Linked DNA regions of Tamandua tetradactyla. The protein of the gene in region 2 interacts with the protein of the main gene of each other region in a pairwise test. Links are inferred from orthologs where the notes say so. Each region holds a gene or a part of one and is shown on either strand. Other genes may lie near its edges. The genes, in order: NFKBIA, NEDD9 and RFX6.

Region 1 (7,535 bases), on a different chromosome or scaffold from region 2:
CTATTACTAAAACATTCTTATATCCCAAAGCAGAAACCCTATACACATTTTAAATTAACTCCCCATTTCCCCTGCTCCCTGTCCCTGGCACTCTGTACTCTACGAGTATGTATATTCTCCGATATTTTCTTTGTGTTACCAAGGAGCTTAAATTTAACATCTTAAATCTGGAACAATCTCATTTGCTTTGATACCGACCTAACTTCAATATATACACAAATTATATTTCTATAGCTCTCTGTCTCTCCACATTTTGTAGTTCCTGTCACAAATGAAATGTTTTTACATTATGTCTTAAACCACTGATTTCTCTTTATGTTTTATGAATTTGCCTTTTAAATTCTGTAGAAAGCAAAAAGTGGACTTACAAACCAAAAATACGATAGTACTGGCATTTATATGTACTCATGTCATTACCCTCATTGGAGATCTTAATCTCTTCATATGGCTTTGATCAATTGCCTATTGTCCTGTCTTTTTAAGCTGCAGAACTCTCTTTAGCATCTCTTGTGGTGCTGGTCTTGTGGTGACGAACTCCTCCAGCTGTTGTTTATCTGGAAATGTCTTAACTGCTCCCTTTTGAAAGACAGTTTTGCTGGGTATAGAATTCTTCACTGGCAATTATTTGCTCTCAGTATTTTAACTAAGTCATCCCAATGCCTTCTTGCTGCCAAGGTTTCTGATGAGAAATCCGCACGTAATCTCATTGAGGTTCCCTTATATGTGACAAATAGCTTTTCTCTTGAGGCTTTCAGAATCCACTATCTTTGGCATTTAACAGTTTGATTATAATATAATGCAGTGTGGGTCTATTGGGGTTTATCCTATCTGGAGTTTGTTGAGTGTCTTGGATAGTATGTTCATGTCTTTCATTAAATTTGGGAAGTTCTCAGCCATTATTTCTTTGAATATTCTCTCTGCCCCTTTTTCTCCGTCTTCTTCTGGAACTTCCACAATGAATATATTGGTAGACTTAAAGGTGTTCCACAGGTTCCTTAGGCTTTGTTCATTTTTCTTTCTTCTTTCTGCTCCTCAGATAGAATGATTTCAATTGTCTTCAAGTTCATGGATTCTTTCTTCTACCACTCCCAATCTGCTGTTGAACCCCTCCAGGAAATTATAAATTTCTGTTATTGGGGTCTTCAGCTCTATTTTATTCCTTTTCACAATTTCTATCTCTCTATTGATAATCTCTTTGTGCTCATCTGTCATTTTTCTGATTTTTTAAGTTCTTTGTTCATGTTTTCCTTCAGCTCTTTGAGCATTTTTAGGACATTTTTTAAAAGACTTTGTCTAGTATGTCACAGGTCTGGTCATCCTCATTGATGATTTCTAATACCTTAATTTTCTCCTTTGCCTAGGACATCACTTCCTATTCCTTTGTATGTTTTATAATCTTTGGTTGGAACCTGGGCATTTAATGCTTTAAGGTGTTATCACTGGAATTTAGACTCTGAGGCATCTATTTCCTTAAGCTTGGATCCAGCTAGCATAATGATAGAGCTTTCTTTAAATGCCAGGGCTAAGGGAAAAAATAAAAGACGGGGAAAAAAAAGAAAACACTTTTCCTAGTCTTTACAGATTGACCTCTATGAGTGCTTTTTCTTCAATGCTTATCTATACAAAGAATTTAGTGAATAGCTCCAGGCCAAAGCATGCAACCTCCTTCCTTTCTACCCACGGTCATGTGGCCCTAGGAATTTCCCTGTTTACACAGATACAATGTCCCCTCTTCCCTAGGAAAGAGCCTCCTCAGAGTCCCAGGCACAGCTCTGTATGTCCTAAAGCCAGCAAACCTTTGCCCCAAGCCTCCAACCAGCAATCCTTTGCCCCAGGTCCATGGCTTTATTGGCTGCCCATAGTATGTTGTAGGAGAGCTCCACATGCTGCTTCTTCGCTCAGGGCAAGTTCTGGGACACCACCAAACTGTGCCAGACCTACAGGTTCTGAGTATGTGCACAAGCGTTAACTCTGCTCCCTCTGAAACTGGGACTAAGCATCCACGCCCTGGGAGGATGGGCTGGCTCAGAGCCAAGTTGGTGAGGGCTGGGAAGGTGGCCAGCCAGGATACCAAGAGATTCTAGGCTCTTAAATTGCCTTTTTCTTGATTCAGTGCTCATCCTGTTTCTACAGTCCTTTAACTATTTTCCACTAGATCTTGCTGGTTGTTCAAAGCTTCTGTGGGGACACCTATAATTCTCTTTTTACTTTCTAAATATGAGACCTATAATTCATATTTTTAACTCTTTAGCTAAAAATCCTCTTCTAAGATATACTTTGTAAATAGGGCATTTAGTGTTTGCCATTTCTATAGCTTTTTTTTTTTTTAAAGAAGTTACTGTTCCCAGCTAGGGGAACACCTACCCTCTGTTTTACCTAACAGTTGGAGCAGAAAATACTCGAGTAACTTCCAAATTATAGTATATTCAGTCTCATTTTCACAATGTGTCTTCAAAATTGTTAATACTATGACTGCTTTGCTAAATGGTTAATATATTGGGATAGAAATTAGGTAAACTACCATGGGATGTCTGGGTAAATTTCTCTTTATTTCAGTTTCTTTTTAGGATTAACAATGTGATACATAAAGTGTTGGAGTCCTTACAAAAATTTATACCACAATATGCCAAGAGCTAGGGTCTCCCTTACAAATCAGGGTTAGAGATGCATTTGTGGCGACATAATATAGTTTATTAAGCTGGAAAAAACCCTAAATAGCATTAAACCCAATCTTATTATTTTAAAAGCATGTATGCTACTGAATAGTTAACTATCTACCAAAGTAACATACAGTTAATTAGAGGCAGAGCCTGGGGTTGAGATGCCCTATTTTTAGTCTCTATTCCACTTTGCCTCAAGAATTGTATATTTGCATATCAAATGCCTGCAGAGAGGATGTAGTCTATCCTGACAGTTTTCATTTTAATATATTATCATTGCCACTCTGAAGGCTTTATTTCTTGATTTTACTTTTTGTCCCCTCAGATTTCCTCTCTCAACCCCATTGACCCAGATTCCCCACATTGGCATGTTGGGGGTGGGGGTGAGATGTGGACAGGGGGAAAGTTTCACAGTAATGGCCAGTCAAGGCAAAGATGATTGCAGTAATCACCAGAAAGCTCTGCAGAACTGTAGAACCCACCCCACCCCCCCCCCACCCCCCCGGGGCTAATTCTCAAGACCTCTGACCTAAACTGTTTTCTTTTGCCTGGGCAATTCTATAAGCACATGAATTCAATTTATGGCTTGCTGACTTGGAGGTGGGGATAGGGACAGATAGAGTAAGTTTCTATATTTGCAGTTGAAACCAGAGGATGGTGAGCCCAAATCCCTTTCCCTTCTGTGTGGCTACCCACACTGTATGGGTAGGTCCAGCTGTGTCACCCCCCAGGTCAAGAGTAGCAAGCAAGGGCACCAGCGGGGTAGTGTTGGGGCTGCCTTGAGCCCCATACACGCTAGCTAGCAGCTACTTTTGTGGTGGTCCTTATGGTCCAACCTTGGGTAAGACGCTGCTAAACTCATGCTTCAGCATCCTTCTTCAAATGCTCCAGGGAAATTGCCCATCAGGCACCCAGTAGAAGGTTCTGGGCCTATTCCCTGCAGTTGCACAATGCAAATGAAAGAAAGAGACCTCACTGGTTATTTCTTATAGCAAATCTATAACTCCTCCTGCACAGATTCACAACTTGCCTTACTTCAAATGAATTATGATTATATATTGCACTTTCCAGAAAGAGGGGCAGGAGTGCTTGCCCCTTCCCCAGTCAACAGGATTAACAGTCCCAAGGAAATGATTTGAGGGCTTTCCAAGTATTTAGGTTTAAGGCCAAAGCTTTCACAATTTTTACCTGGGAAGGCAGGAAAAGCTAAATGCCTCTGCTCTGCAAAGAGGCACAGCGTTCCTGGTATTGGCAGGAACACAGTACGGCCCGCGACCTAACCACCTGACCGCCCTTCCCCGCAGACTGAATTTTGGGGAAGCGAATCCCTACACCCAGCCATCATTTCCACTCTTGGGTTTTCAAAAGAGCAAAAAACGGAAAGGCCCTGCAGGTTGGCAAACACCGGTGTGGATCCGCCCAACGGGTCTGCGTCCTGGGGATCGCAGCGCAGACGACCCTAAGTCGAATAAATCAAGGGAAACCCCAGGGAAAGAAGGATTTTTGCAGAGGACAGAATTACTGAGTGCAGACTGCAGGGAAGTACCTGGGGGGAGGGGCCCTTGTCAGAAGGACTTTCCAGCCACCCAGCGCTCATCAAAAAGTTCCCTGTATATGACCCCAGTGGCTCATCGCAGGGAGTTTCTCTGTTGAACCCCAGCACAGGGTTTAGGCTTCTTTTTTTCCCCCCCAGCATAGAATGGGGCCAGTTCTCATTTCTGGTCTGACTGGCTTGGAAATTCCCCGCGCCTGACCCCGCCCCGGAGAAATCCCCTGCCAGCGCTTATAGGGCGCCGGGGCGGCGCTGCCGAGCCACAACAGTGCTAGTCCGCAGCCCCAGCCGCCAGCGACACTGCGAGGAGGCGCGCAGCCCGTGGCCGAGCGCACCTGGGGAGCCGCGCCTGGAGACGGAACCCGCGCCATGTTCCAGCCCGCCGAGCACGCCCAGGCGTGGGCCATGGAGGGCCCCCGGGACGGGCTGAAGAAGGAGCGGCTGCTGGACGACCGCCACGACAGCGGCCTGGACTCCATGAAGGACGAGGAGTACGAGCAGATGGTGAAGGAGCTGCGCGAGATCCGCCTCGAGCCTCAGGAGGCGCCGCGCGGGGCCGAGCCTTGGAAGCAGCAGCTCACGGAGGACGGAGACTCGTAAGTGTGGCCGAGCCGGGGTGGGGAGGGTGGGTGCGCGCCGGGCCTGCAGCGGGAGCCGCCGGGGCCGCGGCGCAGCAGGGCAGGGGCGCGGCAGCGACCCCGGGGCTCGGGCACCGACCGCGAAAACGTTCGGAGCTGCACGTCTGCGCGGCGGGGGGAGGGCTGGGCTTGGGGCTCGCGGGCCCGGCTGCAGCTCGGCGACGCGCTCCGGCGTTTCCTCACACGCCCCCCCTCCTCTGCCTCCTCCCCTTCCCCTCCCCCCTCCTCCTGGAGGCTCGGGCCTCGGGGCCGGGGGCGGGGCGGCGGCGGGGACGCGAAGTCCTGGGTTGCATAAGGGGTGGGGGGGCTGGGTGGGCAGGACTTTCTGCCCCGCTGGCAGGCGCCTCGCAGCCCCGAGGGGAAGTACAGGGCGTTCCGGGCCGGCGCGAGGGCGGGGCGGTCTGGCCGGCGCCCGCCGAGGAGGAGGAAGGGGGGGCCCGGAAAGTCCCTGGGCGCCTGCCAGGAACACTCAGCTCATAATAACCTCGCGGAAAACACCGCGGCCTCGGCCTCCAGAAACCCCGGCCTTGCGCAATCCCCCGCAGCCCGCACCTCCCTGGGCCCCACACGGTGCACTCATCACCCCCTGGTTTTTTTTCCCCCTCTCTTCCCCTCAGGTTCCTGCACTTGGCCATCATTCATGAAGAGAAGGCCCTGACGGTGGAAGTGATCCGCCAAGTGAAGGGGGACCTGGCGTTCCTCAACTTCCAGAACAACCTGCAGCAGGTGCGCTGCTCGCCTAGCCCGGGGCCCTTTCTGACCCTGTGATGGAGCTGGATTGACAAATTGGCCCTGACACAATTGCCACCAAATCCTTTCTAAACCAACAGTCACTGATCTTTAAAGGCCCCGGCCTTTTACATTTTAATCAGCAAATATCCAACAGAGAAAAGCATATCCCATGGACTGGGTGATTTAGAGTCCACCTGGGGCCTCTGGTGTTTTCCTCGCCCCTTGGCCTGTCTGGGAGGAGCAGCACCCACCACTGGGAGGGGCCTGGGGTTTCAGGAGACCCTGACTGCAGGTTTGGCCCATGGTTTATTCTGTTTCTATTCCTTTTTATTTTTGTAGACTCCACTCCATTTGGCTGTGATCACTAACCAGCCAGAAATTGCTGAGGCTCTTTTGCAAGCTGGCTGTGATCCTGAGCTTCGAGACTTTCGAGGAAATACCCCCCTGCACCTTGCCTGTGAGCAGGGCTGCCTGGCCAGCGTGGGAGTCCTGACGCAGAGCTGCCAGGCCCAGCACCTCCACTCCATCCTGCAGGCCACCAACTACAATGGTACGCGAGTCGGCCTGCCCCGCCAGGGGACGGGTGGCATGGAGGAGGGGGGAGGTGGGCCAACAGTCTGAGTCCTGGTGAGACCCTAAACTCTCAACATGAGAAAGTTTGAGAGAATAGACCCACTATTTGATGCCTTTATAATGTTAATTCAGACCCCAAATTCGAGATCCTTCAAATTTAGAAGACATGGCTGATTGTCCCTTAAAAGAATAAGTGGAAGGTTCTGTTTGAGGTGTGAGGCTTGAAACAAATGGTTAAACTTTTTTCCTTTTGTTCTTCTAGGTCACACGTGTCTACACTTAGCCTCTATCCATGGCTACCTGGGCATCGTGGAGCTCTTGGTGTCTTTGGGTGCTGATGTCAATGCTCAGGTGAGTGCTTCCTGCTCCCAGATGGAGTGAGTCCGGCTTTAGAGCCCCTTTCCTGAATAAGACTTCTTGCAAGCAGAAATCCCAAATTCAGCTGTAAGCATCTCTTAATTCTCTTTGGTCTCAGGAGCCCTGTAATGGCCGGACTGCCCTCCACCTTGCAGTGGACCTGCAGAATCCTGACTTGGTGTCCCTCTTGTTGAAGTGTGGGGCTGACGTCAACAGAGTTACCTACCAGGGTTACTCCCCCTACCAGCTCACCTGGGGCCGTCCAAGCACCCGGATACAGCAGCAGCTGGGCCAGCTGACCCTGGAGAACCTTCAGCTGCTGCCAGAGAGTGAAGATGAGGAGAGCTATGACACGGAGTCAGAGTTCACAGAGGACGAGGTGAGTCTCCATTGAACTTCTTCAACACCCACAAAAAAGATGAGGGGCCCGTCACCTTCCCATGCCCCGAGAGCTACTCTTAATCACAGAGTCTCAACAATGAAGTTCTCAAACTTGAGTGCAATAACACTATCCCCGAAGCGTGTCTTTTCTGTTTGTAGCTTAACCTTTTTAGAGGAGAGGAACATTAAAGAAAAACTCCCTCAGCCTGCAAAGTTCATTTATGTTTTGGGTTGTTGAGAATGGAGTCCAAGAAGACTTAAATTATTTCCCAATAGGAATCCTCACTGTCTTCCCAACGTCTTGTTAAAGTTCTGGAAGTTTAATGTGCTTTTCTTCCCTCTCATTTTTAGCTGCCCTATGATGACTGTGTGCTTGGAGGCCAGCGGCTGACATTATAAATGGAACATGTATAAAAGAACCTGGACTTGTATATTTGTACAAAAGGAGAGCTTTATTTTTCTAAAAAAAAGGAAAAAAGAAAAAAATTCAAAGGGTGTACATAAAACCACACTGCCCACTGCTTGGCCCAAAATATTTTACTGTGGTGGATCAGCCTTTATTTTTGTGAATTCTATGAGTGAGACAAGAAAAATCCTTGGACTCCAAAGAAAGCCTATTAAGCTTCACCTTTGTAGAGTTTT
Region 2 (7,057 bases):
CCCTTTTTTTGTCTCTTATGATGTCTTTACATTTAAAGTCTATTTTGTCTGATATTAGTATTCCTATCCCTGCTTTCTTTTGGTTACAGCTTGTGTGAATATCTTTTTCCATTCCTTCACTTTCAATGTATTTGTATCCTCAGTTCTAAGGCGAGTCTCTTGTAAGCAACATATAGCTTGATTATATTTCTTAATCCATTCTACCAATCTGTATCTTTTAATTGGTAAGTTTAGTTCATTAACATTCAAAGTTATTACTGCAAAAGCACTTCTTGAATCCACCATCTTATTCTTTGGATTTTATTTATCAGATCTATTTGTTCATTTCCTTCTTTCTCTTTTTATCATTTAGGTTACCCTTACTGGTACTCTTCAATTCTGTGCTCTCCTCCAGACCTCTCTTTCTTGTCTTTTTTTTTTTTTTTCAGCTGGCAGAACTCCTTTTAGTATTTCTTGTAGAGCTGGACTCTTGTTGACATACTCTTTCAGGATTTGTTTGTGAAAATTTTAATCTTTGCCTCACTTTTGAAGAACAGTTTGGGTGGGTACAGAATTCTTGGCTGGAAGTCTTTCTCTTTCAGGATATTAAATGTATCACACCACTGCCTTCTCGCCTCCATAGTGCTAGTTGAGTAGTTCCAACTGTCTTACGTGGTTTCCCTTGTATGTAGTAGATTGTTTTTCTCTTGCTGCTTTCAAGATTTTCTACTTCTCTTCAACATTTAACAGACTGATAAGTATGTGTTTTGTAGAAGGCCTATTTGGATTTATTCTATTTGATGTTCATTGGGCTTCTCTGATTTGCATTTTTATATCTTTTATACAGGTTGGGAAGATTTTCCCCATTATATCTTCAACTACTCTTCCTAGCCCTCTACTCTTCTCTTCTCCTTCTGGGACACCAATGATTCTTATATTTGTGTGCTGCATTTTGTCTGTCATTTCCTTTAGATCCAATTCAAATTTTTCCATGATTTTTTGTCATTTTCTCTTTTGCGCATTCAAAATCAGTTGTCCTGTCTTCTAGTATACTTATTCTTTCTTTTGCTTTTTCAAATCTGCTGTTGTGTGTCTCTAAGTATATTTTTTATTTGGTCTACAGTATCTTTAACCTCTGTGACATTTGCTATTGCTCTATTTATTCTTTCAAATTCCTCTTTACAATCTTCTAGTGTCTTCTTGATTTCTTTTATGTTATTAACCATACCACTGATTTTATTTAGTAAAGTTATATGAACATCTTTGATTAGTTGTTCCAAAGTCTGTGTCTCCTCCATGTTTTAATTTGGTCATTAAACTGGGCTCTGTCTGCATCTTCATATGATTAGTGATCTTCTGTTGTCTTCATGGCATGTAAATATCTTAATAGGGTTACTTTGGATGTTGATTTCTTTTAGTAGTCTCAAGCTTTGTATTTGCAGGACAGGTGCAGAGCAAGATGTGGGGTTTGGGGAGGGCCACAACAGTGCGGTGATGGGTTGCGGTGCAGGTATATGCACGGGTACAGGACTCTACACTGGTATCTGTGAGCATGGGCTGTGGGTCACAGTGATGTGGTCATATGTTGCAGGGGTTGTGGGGGTGAGGTGCAGGTCAGGCAGTTCTCGGAGTGCAGGAGCAGGGCGCAACTTGGCGGACACAGAGGTAGGGCACAGCAGGCGGCAGATGGGGGGGTCTGAGTGGATGCATGAGGGTTGATAAGTGGACAGGATGCAGGTAGGCACGTGAAGCATGTGGGTCATGGGTGTCAGGTGTAGGATACAGGGAACAAGTCGGGGCACAAGGAGGTTGGAATGCAGATGTGTCCTTGCACAGAGAGAGAGGTCCAGGGGGGCCAGGATGTGGATGTGCAAGTGCGTAGGGGCAGGGTACAGGTCCTGGAGGTTGCGGGACATGTGTGTTTGGTGGGTGATGATGGGGGTCCCTGGTGCGGGTGTGTAGGTGCAGAGGTGGGGTGGGGTACAGGTGCTTGCTAGTGCAGGGCGGAGGCTATGTAGCACAGATGTGTTGGAGAGGACCTGCCAAATGTGGGAGAAGGGCATGTGGGGTGGGGCAAGGTTGTGCACATGTATGAGGCAAGGGGAGTGAGGTGCAGGGGTCACGTGAGTGCCCAGCATGGGAGAAACTGGCTGTGCCGGTGTGTGTATCTGGGGGGCAGGGCCCTGAAATGCTCCTGTCTGGGGAGCAGGGCACTGGTGTGCATGTGGGCAGAGCTCAGGGCCACTGGCATGAGATGATGCCTGCTTGCGGCCCTGATGCTTAGGTCAGCACTTGCCCAGAGCTGAGGAGGCATGGCCTGAGTGGTAGTACGAGCCTGCATGCATCTGCGGGGCCAGAGGCTGACGTGCGCGTGCACGAAGCTCAGGGGGCTGGGGTGGAGTTGCATGACTGGATGGGCTGAGTGTGGATGTGGCCTGGGTCTGAAGGTGAGCGCCTGCAGCCCGAATGCGCAGTTGACTGCCTGCAGGGGGGAGGTGGGGGTCCAGGGGCTGACCACAGGTACGTGGGTCTCAGGAGGGGTGGGGCAACACTGTGTGCTTGCGTGCGAGAGGTGGGGTGGGCTGGGACAGAATTCTGCGCATGCACGGGGTGGGGGTCGAGAGCAGGGGTGCTTGGGGCTTGGCCGAGGTTGGGTAACGGGGCTCAGGTGTGTGAAGTTGGGGGGAGTTGGGGGGTGTGGGACGGAGGTGTCACGAGTGAGGGTAATGCGTCCAAGGCTCGCTGCTCGGCTTATTTCCTCCTCTCCATCTCCTTGTCCACGCACTCTTGATGACTCTGGGCCTTTGTCTGGCAATGGACGTGCTAAGCTGTTTGCATTAGCTGGCTGGTCTCTGGTTCTCTGCGTCTCAATTCTTCTGCTTTTTCAACTGTGTGGTGTAGAAGACCCTCTCAGGTCATCTACACCCTGGAATCACTCTCCCTAGACACCAACAAGGGGTAGGAAATGGGGAAGGGATGGGAAAAGCAAAGGTCTGAGCTGACAATATTTTGCTAGTAATCATAATAGCAAACTCATATAGAGCTGGTTGGCGATTGAATCATGCTTCCAAAAGGGTGTGTTCAAGTTGCAATCTTGTGTTCCTGTGGCTTTGAACCCCTTTGTGAATAGGACGTTAGAAGATATTACTATTCGTTAAGGTATGGACTCAGTTGTGCCTAGGATCTTTAAAGGACCTATTTAGATGAGGCTAAACTGATTTAGAATGGGACTTAATCCATATGACTGGAGGCTTTATAAGGCAGGGGAATTCGGATGCAGTCTGTCAGAGAAAGCCACAAGAGGAGACCCAGAAGGGGGGTTGCCAGGTGATGGGAGGTAGAGATGCAAGCCAAAGACCCCCAAGGAGACCACATAGCACAAGACCATTATAGACTCCAAGTGAAAGCATGGTGTGCTGAGTTCTTGATTTTGACTTCTAGTCTCCAAACCCATGAGCCAATAAATTCATGTCCATTAAGCCAACGCATTGTGTGGTATTTGACATAGCAGCCTGACAATCTAAGACAAATTCTTACTTGTTTGTTCCAAGCACCTTTACGTGCTTGACATACATTAATTCATTTAATTCTCACAACAATCTGTTAAGTTAGGAACTTATTTGTCCAATGAAAGAATGTTCCATGTCAATTTAGAGTAGAAGCCCCAGACACATATTGAGTCTGTAAAAACCACAAATTCCCAATTCGATTGGCTTGGAAATAGTCTCATTTTTGCCTCAGTGTAGCCTAGAAAAGAGTTCATGCCACCTAGAAAATAGATTCCACAGACTTTCATCGCAACTATAATTCAAAGATCAATGATCATTCTAAAAATGGAAAATGGTGCAGATGAGAACTAGAGTTCTTACCTGCCTCTAAACTACAAAGCTTCTACAACTTGAGCGACTCAGAAGTTCTGGCAGAGATAAAAATAAAGAAGAGGCACAGAGAGGAAATAAACGGAGACAACATCACTTCACAGCAACCGGAAGGAAAAGCATACACAGGCATTCGCCACTCACATCGCCCGTTTGTGGTTGTTCAGTAGGGAAATGCTAACAGCTGTCTTTAGCAGCAAGTCTGGCTGCAGCAGCAGCAGAGAGGCATAACCGTGCAGCAGAGCTGAGCTGTCATCCGCCGGTCTGCCCAGAGAGAGGACCAAGACACCACAGAGACAAAATGGTCCAGCAACTATGGTTCAGCTCCAGGGTGAGTTCTCAGCCACTCGTTGTGGCCACAGGCTTGGGGGAGGGCAAACTTGCTCAGACTCTGCTACTTCCTGAGTTGGTGTCAGACATCTGGGGGAGTTCCTTGCTGTTAGCACCCTCTAATCAGGGCAGAGAGGGACTCAACATGCCCCAAAGGAGGAAAGGATGACTTCAGCTCAACTTCCAAGCGATTTGGAGGCAGTGGTTTTCAATGCAGCTGCAAACTTGCAGAATTTTTACTTTTTAATCATCCCAGGTAGGTGCTTCCTGGTGTTCAAAGTGTGACTCCTCCCCTCTTCCTTCTGTCCTCAGAGGTCTTACCTGCAATGAATGAGCTTTAGCTCTTTACTCTTCCCCAAGTTATTTCAGGACTTCACAGTGTGAATAGTCATTTACACTTAAGGCTGAAATAGAGTCATGACATCATTTTCAGTCTCTCACGGGGTGACTCTTAAGAGCAAGAGATGGGGATTGAGGGTTGGGCTCTGTGTGTGTGCCCAGCTGTGCTGAGACTTGATTGTCAGGGGCAGGGACAAACGACCCCATGTTCTTCCTCTTCGCACAGGGCCACTCCAACAACTTCACTTTTGTTTTTCTCTATATTAATTCATCATTCATTCATTCAATTGTCTTCCACAAAGGATATATATAATATTGTATAATTTATATGTAATAGTCTTTATATTTATAAGATAAAGAATAAACTTTGTTTTTGGAATAATTTTAGATTTACAGAAAAATTGCAAAGATAATGCAGCGGATTCCCATATACTCTTTACGCAGCTTTCCCTTATGCTAATACGCTATACAACCGTGAAAACTAAGAAACTCACGTTGATAATTACCTCAACCACAGACTTTATTAGGATTTCATCAGTTTTTCCACGAATGTCTCTCTCCCGTTTCAGGATGCCACACCATATTTATGTCTCTTTAGTCTCTATGGATCTTCACAAAGTATGTGAGACAACATCTTTCCCTTGCTGAAATTACTTTAAAATGAATAATGTGTATTACTTTAAGAGGGGAAATTCATTCTATATATAGCTTAAAGCTCTGTGGAGACTGGTGAGCAATCTTTTCCCTCTGCTAGAGGTGAGGTGAGAGTGAATGCTTCTAGTCTGTTCAACCCCTGTTCGGGAAGCCCCTCCTTTCCACTCTCCGGCCCCCCCAGCCCTGGAAGCTTCTTTCCCACCCAGAAGTGGGTGTACTCTCCTTGACAGAGCCCTGGAGACCCACTAAGTGATTTTCCTCCTTGTTTCCTTTTTCCTCCAAGCTTTGTTAATTTCAACGATATTCCTGTTCTAAGAATGGGGCAAAGTGGAACAGTGGAAACAGAGGGATATGAAATCAATTTTGAATGAGAGTGCCACCAGTTCTTGTTAATTAGTTCAGTGAGTTATTTAATAATTTTCAACAGAGTCAGCACTACGGCTGTCACTAAGTCAAAACTTATGTAAGAGGGACAAAACCTAACTTTGCTCCTGCCTGCCAAAAGCTTAGAGTCCAGGGAAGAGACAGACATTAATAAATCATTACAAAAATGTATCATTTTAAACTGTGACGTATTGCAGGGGGATGTGGTCTCCTCGGGGAGTCAGGGAGGTTTCCAGAGAACACAGAGATGAGAACTGGAAAAGGCGACTTTTCCAGTCTTGTCTTCACATCCAAACTAGATGTTAAACAAGGCAAGGTGTGGGCTTGTGCTCCAGGCACAGAAAACAGCTGAAGCAAAGCCCTGAGGTAGGAGATCGCAGAAGAGTCTGACAAAATTAAGGCCCATGAGGTGCAAGATTGAAGAATAGGGTGATCCTGGGTGAGCTCAAGATGATCCTGGGTGAGCTTGGACCACGCTATGCAAGACGGTAGAGCCAGAGTGTTCTGAAAGAGGCGGAGAAGGTGGGGCTGTTGGGCTCTGATCTGTATTCCTTTCCCTTTTTTTTTTCATGCAAGAGCTTATTTCTATTTGTAGTATTAATCAGTGGGACACATGGCTCTAAACAACCCCTTTCAATCATATTCACCTTCAGTTATAATCCCACTAATGAATTACCATCACCTCCATCCATTCCCACACATTTAAGTTTAACCTCATTAACAAGTCTGAATATATTAGGTAACTGCTTCCTCTTTCTCTAACTTCTGTCTATCTGTAGGTTTCCTATATTCTACTTTTTAAAACTCTGAGCTTACATTTTCTAGGGGGTTCATATTAGTGAAATCACACAATCTCTATCCTTTTGTGTCAGGATTATTTCACCCAGTGCTATGTCCTCAGGGTTCATCCATGTTGTCATGTGCTTCAGGACCTCATTTCACCTTGCGGCTGCATACTATTCCATCATATGAATATATCACATTTTGTTTACCCACTTGTCTGTTGATGTGCGCTTGGGTTGTTTCCATCTTTTGGCAATTGTGAATGCTGCTGCTATGAATATCGGTGTACAAGTGTTGGTTTATGACATTGTTTTCAGCTCTTCTGGGTATATATTGAGTATTGGTATTAACAGGTCATAGGGCAACTCAATATTTGGTTTTTTGAGGAACTGCCAAACTGTCCTCCACAGTGACTGCACCATTATACATTCCCACCAGCAGTGCGTAAATGTCCCAATTTCTCCACATGATCGGCATTCTTAAGGGATGAATGGGAGCGACCAATTCTGAAGCAGGGAAGCCAGGTATAAGCTTGATGTAGTCATCCAAACAAGAGTGTCTAACGAGAAAATAGACCGGGGTGGTGGCAGTGGGAACAGAAGTGGACAAACTAAGTCATTTAGAAAGGAAAATCAACAGGGCTTGGTGGTGGAATGGAAAGGAGAGTGGGGGCCATGGGTGGGGAGAAGGGGGAGTGTCAAAGATGATTC
Region 3 (7,242 bases), on a different chromosome or scaffold from region 2:
AAACCAACTTCTCATTTCATTGATTTTGTCTCTTTCTCTATTATCTATTTCAATTACCTTCATGCCGATCCTTATTATTTCATTCTGTTTGCACTAGGTTTGTTTGGTCTTCTTTTTATAGTTTCTTTTCTTTTTTTAGGTGCACAGTTGAGGAATCGAACCTGGGTCTCCCACATGGAAGTCGAGTATTCTACCACTGAACCACCCGTGTACCCCTTTTTATGGTTTCTTAAGGTGGAAGTTTAAGTTATTGATTGAGTTCTTTTTTTTTAATGTATGCATTTGCAACTATAAATTTCCTTCTGAGCACTGCTTTCATTGCATCCCATAAAGTTTGGTATATTGTATTTTCACTTTCATTCATCTCAAAGTAGTTTCTCATTTCTCTTGTGATTTCTTCTTTGACCCATTGGTAGTCTAATATTGTACTCTTCTATTTCAACATATTTGTTAGTTTTCCAAATTTCCTTCTGATATTGAAATCTAATTTCATTCCATTGTGATCGTAGAACACACTTTGTATGAAATTAATCTTTTAATGTTTATTGAGGCCTATTTTTTTGGCTTAATATATGATATATCCTGAAAAATGTTCCATATATTCTTGAAAAGAATATATATTCTGCTTTTGTTATTTGGAGTGTTCGTTGGTGTCCATTAAATAACTTATAAATCTTCTATTTCCTTTTTATCTCTATTCAGTTGTTCTATCCATTATTGAAAGTGGGGTGTTGAAGTTTCCAACTATTATTGTTGAACTGTCTAATTCTCCCTTCCATTCTGTCAGTATTTGCTTTGTGTATTTTGGAGTTCTGTTGTTAGCTATATAACCCAAATTTACTTTTATTTGAAAGTAGCAACAACATGAAAATTATTAAAATAAGGCAGACTATGAAGTTCTTTCTATAATAGCAAAGTTCATTTGGTAGATAAAAATAAAATTAGGGGAAGCATGAACTTTCATGGTAGAAAATTTCATAGTATATGATTCCTCCAGACCATACCAATTCCAGGCATAGTGCAGACAAGGAGAAAGATGTTTCTCAGCAATGAAAGAGTGAAATTTTATTTCTTTGTTTTTGAGAACTAAAAGGGATCTAAAGTTTTGGAGTAAAAATATTGGATATATTTTATTAATGGCTTTCTCTGTCCCAGGTACTATACTAAGTTCTTCTTTGTGATGTTTCATTTAATCCTCATATCATGAATAAGGTGGTGTCTAATATCAACAGAACCTGATCAAGCATTCATGTGTAAGGGTGATGCTTCACGGAAGTGTTCCCAGGGAAATGGGTGAGGGACTAGGCATTGCAGGAACGGAGGGTGAAGAAGCCAAGCAAGGATGGGATTTCAGGAATGGTCCAGTGGAGGATGGATTCAGCCTGAACCCACAGAAGAACTCTAGATTGTAAATGATGCCCCAGATTTTCATTGTGAAGACAAAGAGCCTGGCTTTCAATTCCTCCGAATCATCAGTCATTGACTAAGGGTTGCTCAAGGAATATAAACTCCAAGGCCCTTGGACTGTTTCTGCTTATGTGCAAAGGCAGTCTGGTAGCCAAGGGAAGCTCCTCTGAAGGACCTGAGGTGCTCTTAGATGGTGACAGAGGGGTGCTCAGAAGATGAGAGGGATCAAGAGGTATGTCTGGACTGAGCACCCATGAAATCTACTACAGATAGGTACTCTTGTTTCCATTTTAGAGAGAAGGAAAGTTAGGCCAGAAGGCTAAATGTGCAATCACATAAAGAATGAGTGCAAATGTATCTGACTCCAAAGTCCTATTCCTTTCTCCTTATTATGATACTTCTAGTCATGAAGATATTGTCATTTGGGAACTTCCAAGAATTGTCTTTCAGAAATCATTATTCTGTTTTCTTAAAATAGAAACAATTTTGTCAGGGATACTTTACTTAGGATCTGTCAAATCATATGTGAAAATTTGCCTGCTTGAACGTGAGTTTTTCATGTGCCTTTCCAACTCGCCCCCCCACCCCCGGCCCAGGGAAAGAGTCGATGGCTAACACGAATTTCTCAAAGGAAATACAAAACACAAAAGGTTAAGAGCCACAATTTTCAAAGGCCAGTCTCCATATTTACCTACTTTCCTATGTTATGACTTTACTATTCACTATTACTTCTCTAAAATATCGGTTCTCATGAGTTTAAATTTATTAATAATAGATGGAAATTTGGGGTTATGACTTTTTTCCCTCTTCGTTTTTTGCTGCATGTCATAAATTTGTGAAAATTAGCTAAAGCTCTTTTAAATCACTCTTTAAACATTTGGTAAAATTCACAGTAGATTAATCTTATCTGAGGCTTTTATTTTATTTTGTAGTTGAAATCTTTTTATAATTATAAGCCCATTTACATTTTCTATTTCTGAATAGAAGCACAAAGAACTTTACATGCTATTTTGTTAGGCAGATGACTTACTTAAATTAAGGCAAAAAGTTCAGTTGGGGACATAAAGGAACTTGGTTTAAATTTCCATTGACCAATGCAGTTGGATAATTGCCAGATATTCACTTAGTGTCTGTATGGCTTACACATACACACACACAAACACACACAAATACAAACACACAACAACCTGGGTATCAAGTGAACAACATTAAAAAAAAATCCTAGTAATTTGCCTGAACAGAATTTTCCTGCTGTTTATGCCATATAACTGATCATGCAGTTAATCACCAGGCCTGGCTTTACAGAATGAATCTAAAGCTATCTTTTTAGTATTAAATAGCTAACCCCATGTCCTGAGAGAGCTCTCTGGACAGCCTCAGGTATCTGGATGTGTGAATGGGTGGGTGGACCCTGCCAGACCTAACTGCTAGAGTTACCAGGTAAAGGAAAAACTTTTGACAGAGAAATAATGCCTTTCCCAACAAGCGGTGCGGAAAAAAAAAATTGGAGAGGTTCAGATATACCCATAATTTTGGTTGCTTAGGTAACCTTAGCAATGTATTAGAATGTATTTTTAGAATACAGAATGTATCATTCTTCCCCATAATTTACCTTTCAGCCACCCACCACCTTGGATCAGATCCTCTTTTGTTTCTAGTTTAAATTTCATTGTAATCTAGTTTGATACTGAATTTGCATTCAGCGTCTTTCTAATGCTGCAAGAGAGAGGATGAATGACAGGATGAAGTTGTGGTGAGGCAATGTGAACCAAAGCTGGATCCTGGCTTTTCCTGGAGAATGCCCGGCATAGAGTAAGCGCAGGGCTGATTTGTTGAAGAAACAACGAATGGAAGGAAGGAAAGATTGTGTGGCAGTCAGGCAACCCCGGCCCAACTCTACGCACTGCTCCTTCTTAGAGAGAGCATAAGTGATGTTCATGACTCTTGACATTAATTATTTCAATTTCATTTCAACAAATGTTCGTTGCATAATCCCTAGATGGATGAGGCATTTCCAGGGACCCGTTTAAATAACAAAATATTGTAAATGGGGGTAAAGGCATCTTTTCCAACAAGCCCAGGGCCAGAACCCCGAGAGAGGCGAGACTCCGGAGTTTGAGCCCTTGTGTGCCCTGGAAGTGCTCTCCGCGCCCGCGAGCGCTGCTCTGCCGCCCGCACTACGGCTCTAATGTATCCTCGAGCCACTGAAAAGAGCCCTCATCTGTCCCTAGGTTATTCCGAGAATAAGTAAATCCCTGCCACTCAGCGTACAGAGGGAGCGGAACTCTGCACCCTGTTCTGTGCGCACACAGCCACCGCTACCCGTTCGGGAGCATCATTTGCATTTCTCGAGAGTAGCGATGGGGCGAGTTTCAGCTGCGCTTCCCCGGGCAAGAAGAGTAGAACTTTTAGGATAATCTGGCCTTGGGTATGAAAAGTGTCCTCCGGCCGAGCAAGAAAAGAGAGGAGGAAGGAGAGGGTAAGGGTGTGGGGGAAAAGGACTGCATTGCTTGGGCGCGACTGGGGCGCAGGTGAGGAAGTGAGTTCTGAGTTGAGCCGCTGTCGAGACGGCACAGGGGTGGAGAGTGGCAGGCGGTCGCACTCACCCGCTCTGGCTTCAGGGCCATCCGAGCCGTAGCCTTGCCCTGCGATCCTCCTCCGCGACGCACCTGGGCGCAGGAGCCTCCGGCCTCCTCCCCCACCCCAGTGGCCCCAGGTCCCCACCCCCGCCGCGCCCCGCCCCGGGCTCTGGCTCGGGGCTCCGCGGGGAACCGGCTGGCGGCGGCGCAGAGGTCTCCGGTGGCCGGAAGGATGGCCAAGGTCCCGGAGCTGGAAGACGCCTTTCTGCAAGCGCAACCTTCGCCCGGAGTTCCCCGGGAGATGCCGGAGGAGTGTTGTGTGCAGTTACTGGGTAAGGGCTTGCTCGCCTACCCCGAGGAAAGGGTGTACCTGGAGGCTGAAGCGCAGCCGGGGGGCGCGCTGGGCAGCGGGGAGAAGGAGGAAGATCCGGAGCTGCTGGTAGGAGTTAAATCAGGTGAGTGCTTTCACACACACACACCCCCTCCCCGGGGAAGTGATTGGGACGCGAGAGTATTCTAAGCAGGGCATCCAATAATAAACTTATACACAGTGCAGACATACATATAAGCAGAATGTTCTGTCCAGATCTTTATATTTCCCCAGGAAAATGTCAACTAGAGATTGTTACCTATTGGGGATTTTGCATAGCTGCGCCCCTGCCCATGACTGACGCAAAATTATGTGTAAAGGGTACTTGATTGATTTCGTACTCTGCTTTTCTCCATCATCTTTTCGACTGACAATCAGAAATGCATTTAAGCAATGGTAACTTTTCTTCTGAAGAAGAGGATGCAGATAGTCACGACAGCAAAACCAAAGTAGCCGATCAACACCTCTCTCAGAAGAAAACCATCACGCAGATTATGAAGGATAAAAAGAAACAGACTCAGCTGACACTGCAGTGGTAAGATTGTCCCGCGGGGGCACATCTGTGCACCTGTTGCTCTTTAAAAGCCAGTGTCTGCACCTTTGCTTTTCCTAATCTGCTTCTCCCTCGAAGCTTTTGGGGAAGTTAAAAACTCCAGTGAAAAATTCATTCAAAACTTTTTTCTCCTACTAACTTGTATATGTTTGTTTGTATAAAGTCATTCTGGTAACTGATCGAAAATTATCTGTAATAAATACGAACCACATTACTTTATGGTTTTTCTTCATCATGAGAACGTTCATTCAGTTGGTCCTTTCGTTTGTTATTTGGCAGTTATCTCATTCACAAAGCATAATTTGAAAAAAAAATAAAGGGAGAGAGGACCTTTATTTAACTTTATTCATGAGGGCAAATTAAAAATAGTGTATTGATCATAAGATGCATTGTATCTAAACTAGACAGAAAAATCAGCTTAGATATCACTATTAACTAAATAAATGTTGAACTATTTTATAGCACCTGTCACATATGAGCTGTTATAAAGAAATATCATGCATTGGATTTTTAGCAAATCTTTTAAAAACAAGAGATTATCAGTATGCTCTTTCTCTATGTACAGGATATTTTGTAATATTGATCTAAAAGGGAAAAAAGACCTAAAGTAACAACATAATGTAAGGATTTCCCTCATTATGTGAAGAAATAGAGTATACATTTCCTCCCAAATAAATCAACAAATCAATAAAAAGTGTTATTTACTCACTGATGAGTTAAATATTCTGTTTGTATGTCAAATCTGATACGAACTTTAGAAAAAGATAATAGAAAAAAATTGACAAAAACTAGTAAACTTTATTTTTATCTATTTAAACATTGAATTAAAATTTACATGCACTGATTTTTTGTGATTATGTACTTGAACTCTTTGAAATATTTTAAGTATTCCTCTAAAGCTATGGCTTAAATATTGTAGTTGATGTGTTTACTCGCTAAGAATACACTAGAGCTGTAAATAATTGACCCAATCATCTCGAATATTTAGGACAAAACTATTTTTGTTAGGATAACTGGGGCAAAATGTTTTGATTTCAGGTATATTATGGAGGTGTTTTGAATAATCACTCCTTTTTTTATTTCAAATTGAGTAAATGGAAACAATCTTGGGTTTTTATTTTATAAATATTCATACATTAAGTTTAAAGAAAATTATGACAAACTCAAATTTAAAATTTTACTCATGTTTATGATTACTTAGTATTTTTGAAGATAGGCAATGCTTAGAACAATAAGATGTTTTATTAGAAATATATATTTTTTGAAGATGAAAACAATGCCTAGAAAAATATTAATATAGGTGAAAAGTAGGGATTATGTGTATATTATAAAAATGTCATTTTTAAATAACTGAATATTTCCCAAAGTGATTTTCATACTTTTTGAAACTATGAAATGCTGTAATTTTTGCTGTAATTTTCTATACCCTCTCCAAAAAAGTGAGTGTTATACTTGCATCCTTTGAAATTATAAATTGTTTTGGGGATGTTAACAATTAGAACTGCAAACCAGAATGAAAAAATATGGCTGATTAACTCATTTTCACTGTCAAGAAGATGTTTGGTTTTATAAATGCAAATTGATTTTATACTTTAAATCCTTAGGTCTTACTGATTTTTTCCCCAAAGAAGACGAGTACCTGATGTTTTACCTGCCCAGGGAATACTTCCTTTAGCGTTTATCTTATGCACATTGAGAATATATTAAATCAGGAATCTTAAAGGGTGCCGTCATTTTAAATCTGATCGTGTACTCCGTATTATATTGTTTCCATATTATAATTATCATGATTTTACAACACATAAAATGGGCATAAGTAAGTTTTAGCCAGATTCACCTATTGAATTTTTAGAAGATCGAAATAAAATCTAAAGGTTCTGATTTCTAGATTGTTGTTCAGATAATTGTAACACATACACACATATATTTAATGAATTGATTTAAACTGCATTTGCAGAAATCCAGATTAAATATAATTATTTTTCAAATTTAAAATTCATATAATTATATTCATAATGTAAAGTTGAAATTATATGTCCTATTTGAAGGCAACTATAGAGAATTACCTTCTTTTAAGTGTACAGGTTGCCTTAAGTATTATAATAATGATCACAGCAGAAAAGGTAGTGTGATAGAAATAGATCAGTATCATTTCAGACTTGAGTGAAATTATTTTTGTGTATTTTGCAAATAATTACATCAAATTATTTGGGGTTCAGTACTTTTTAGGGAAGAAAAGTAAGGAATGTAGGCTTTTACCAACCTTGGTGTTGAGAATGTTGAGTTCTTTTAAAAAAAAATCATGGGCGGGCCGCGGTGGCTCAGCGGGCAAA

What was found.
Region 1: the proteins of NEDD9 (region 2) and NFKBIA interact in binary tests that used the Homo sapiens proteins (3 or more experiments, as listed by UniProt). The two-hybrid records come from large-scale screens. The link is inferred for Tamandua tetradactyla from reciprocal best matches to the Homo sapiens genes NEDD9 and NFKBIA.
Region 3: the proteins of NEDD9 (region 2) and RFX6 interact in binary tests that used the Homo sapiens proteins (3 or more experiments, as listed by UniProt). The two-hybrid records come from large-scale screens. The link is inferred for Tamandua tetradactyla from reciprocal best matches to the Homo sapiens genes NEDD9 and RFX6.

Annotation. Positions count from the first base shown.
Region 1 is NC_135340.1:18,276,842-18,284,376, forward strand, and holds the start of NFKBIA (NF-kappa-B inhibitor alpha), read left to right. Parts: upstream 1-4,480; 5' UTR 4,481-4,581; coding exon 4,582-4,808; intron 4,809-5,467; coding exon 5,468-5,576; intron 5,577-5,921; coding exon 5,922-6,132; intron 6,133-6,417; coding exon 6,418-6,506; intron 6,507-6,630; coding exon 6,631-6,891; intron 6,892-7,244; coding exon 7,245-7,292; 3' UTR 7,293-7,535. UniProt on the Homo sapiens protein: Inhibits the activity of dimeric NF-kappa-B/REL complexes by trapping REL (RELA/p65 and NFKB1/p50) dimers in the cytoplasm by masking their nuclear localization signals.
Region 2 is NC_135351.1:14,456,165-14,463,221, reverse strand, and holds the start of NEDD9 (enhancer of filamentation 1), read left to right. Parts: upstream 1-3,998; 5' UTR 3,999-4,188; intron 4,189-4,227; exon of another isoform or gene 4,228-4,443; intron 4,444-4,907; exon of another isoform or gene 4,908-6,068; intron 6,069-7,057. UniProt on the Homo sapiens protein: Scaffolding protein which plays a central coordinating role for tyrosine-kinase-based signaling related to cell adhesion. As a focal adhesion protein, plays a role in embryonic fibroblast migration.
Region 3 is NC_135331.1:177,780,192-177,787,433, forward strand, and holds the start of RFX6 (DNA-binding protein RFX6), read left to right. Parts: upstream 1-4,218; coding exon 4,219-4,441; intron 4,442-4,734; coding exon 4,735-4,891; intron 4,892-7,242. UniProt on the Homo sapiens protein: Transcription factor required to direct islet cell differentiation during endocrine pancreas development. Specifically required for the differentiation of 4 of the 5 islet cell types and for the production of insulin.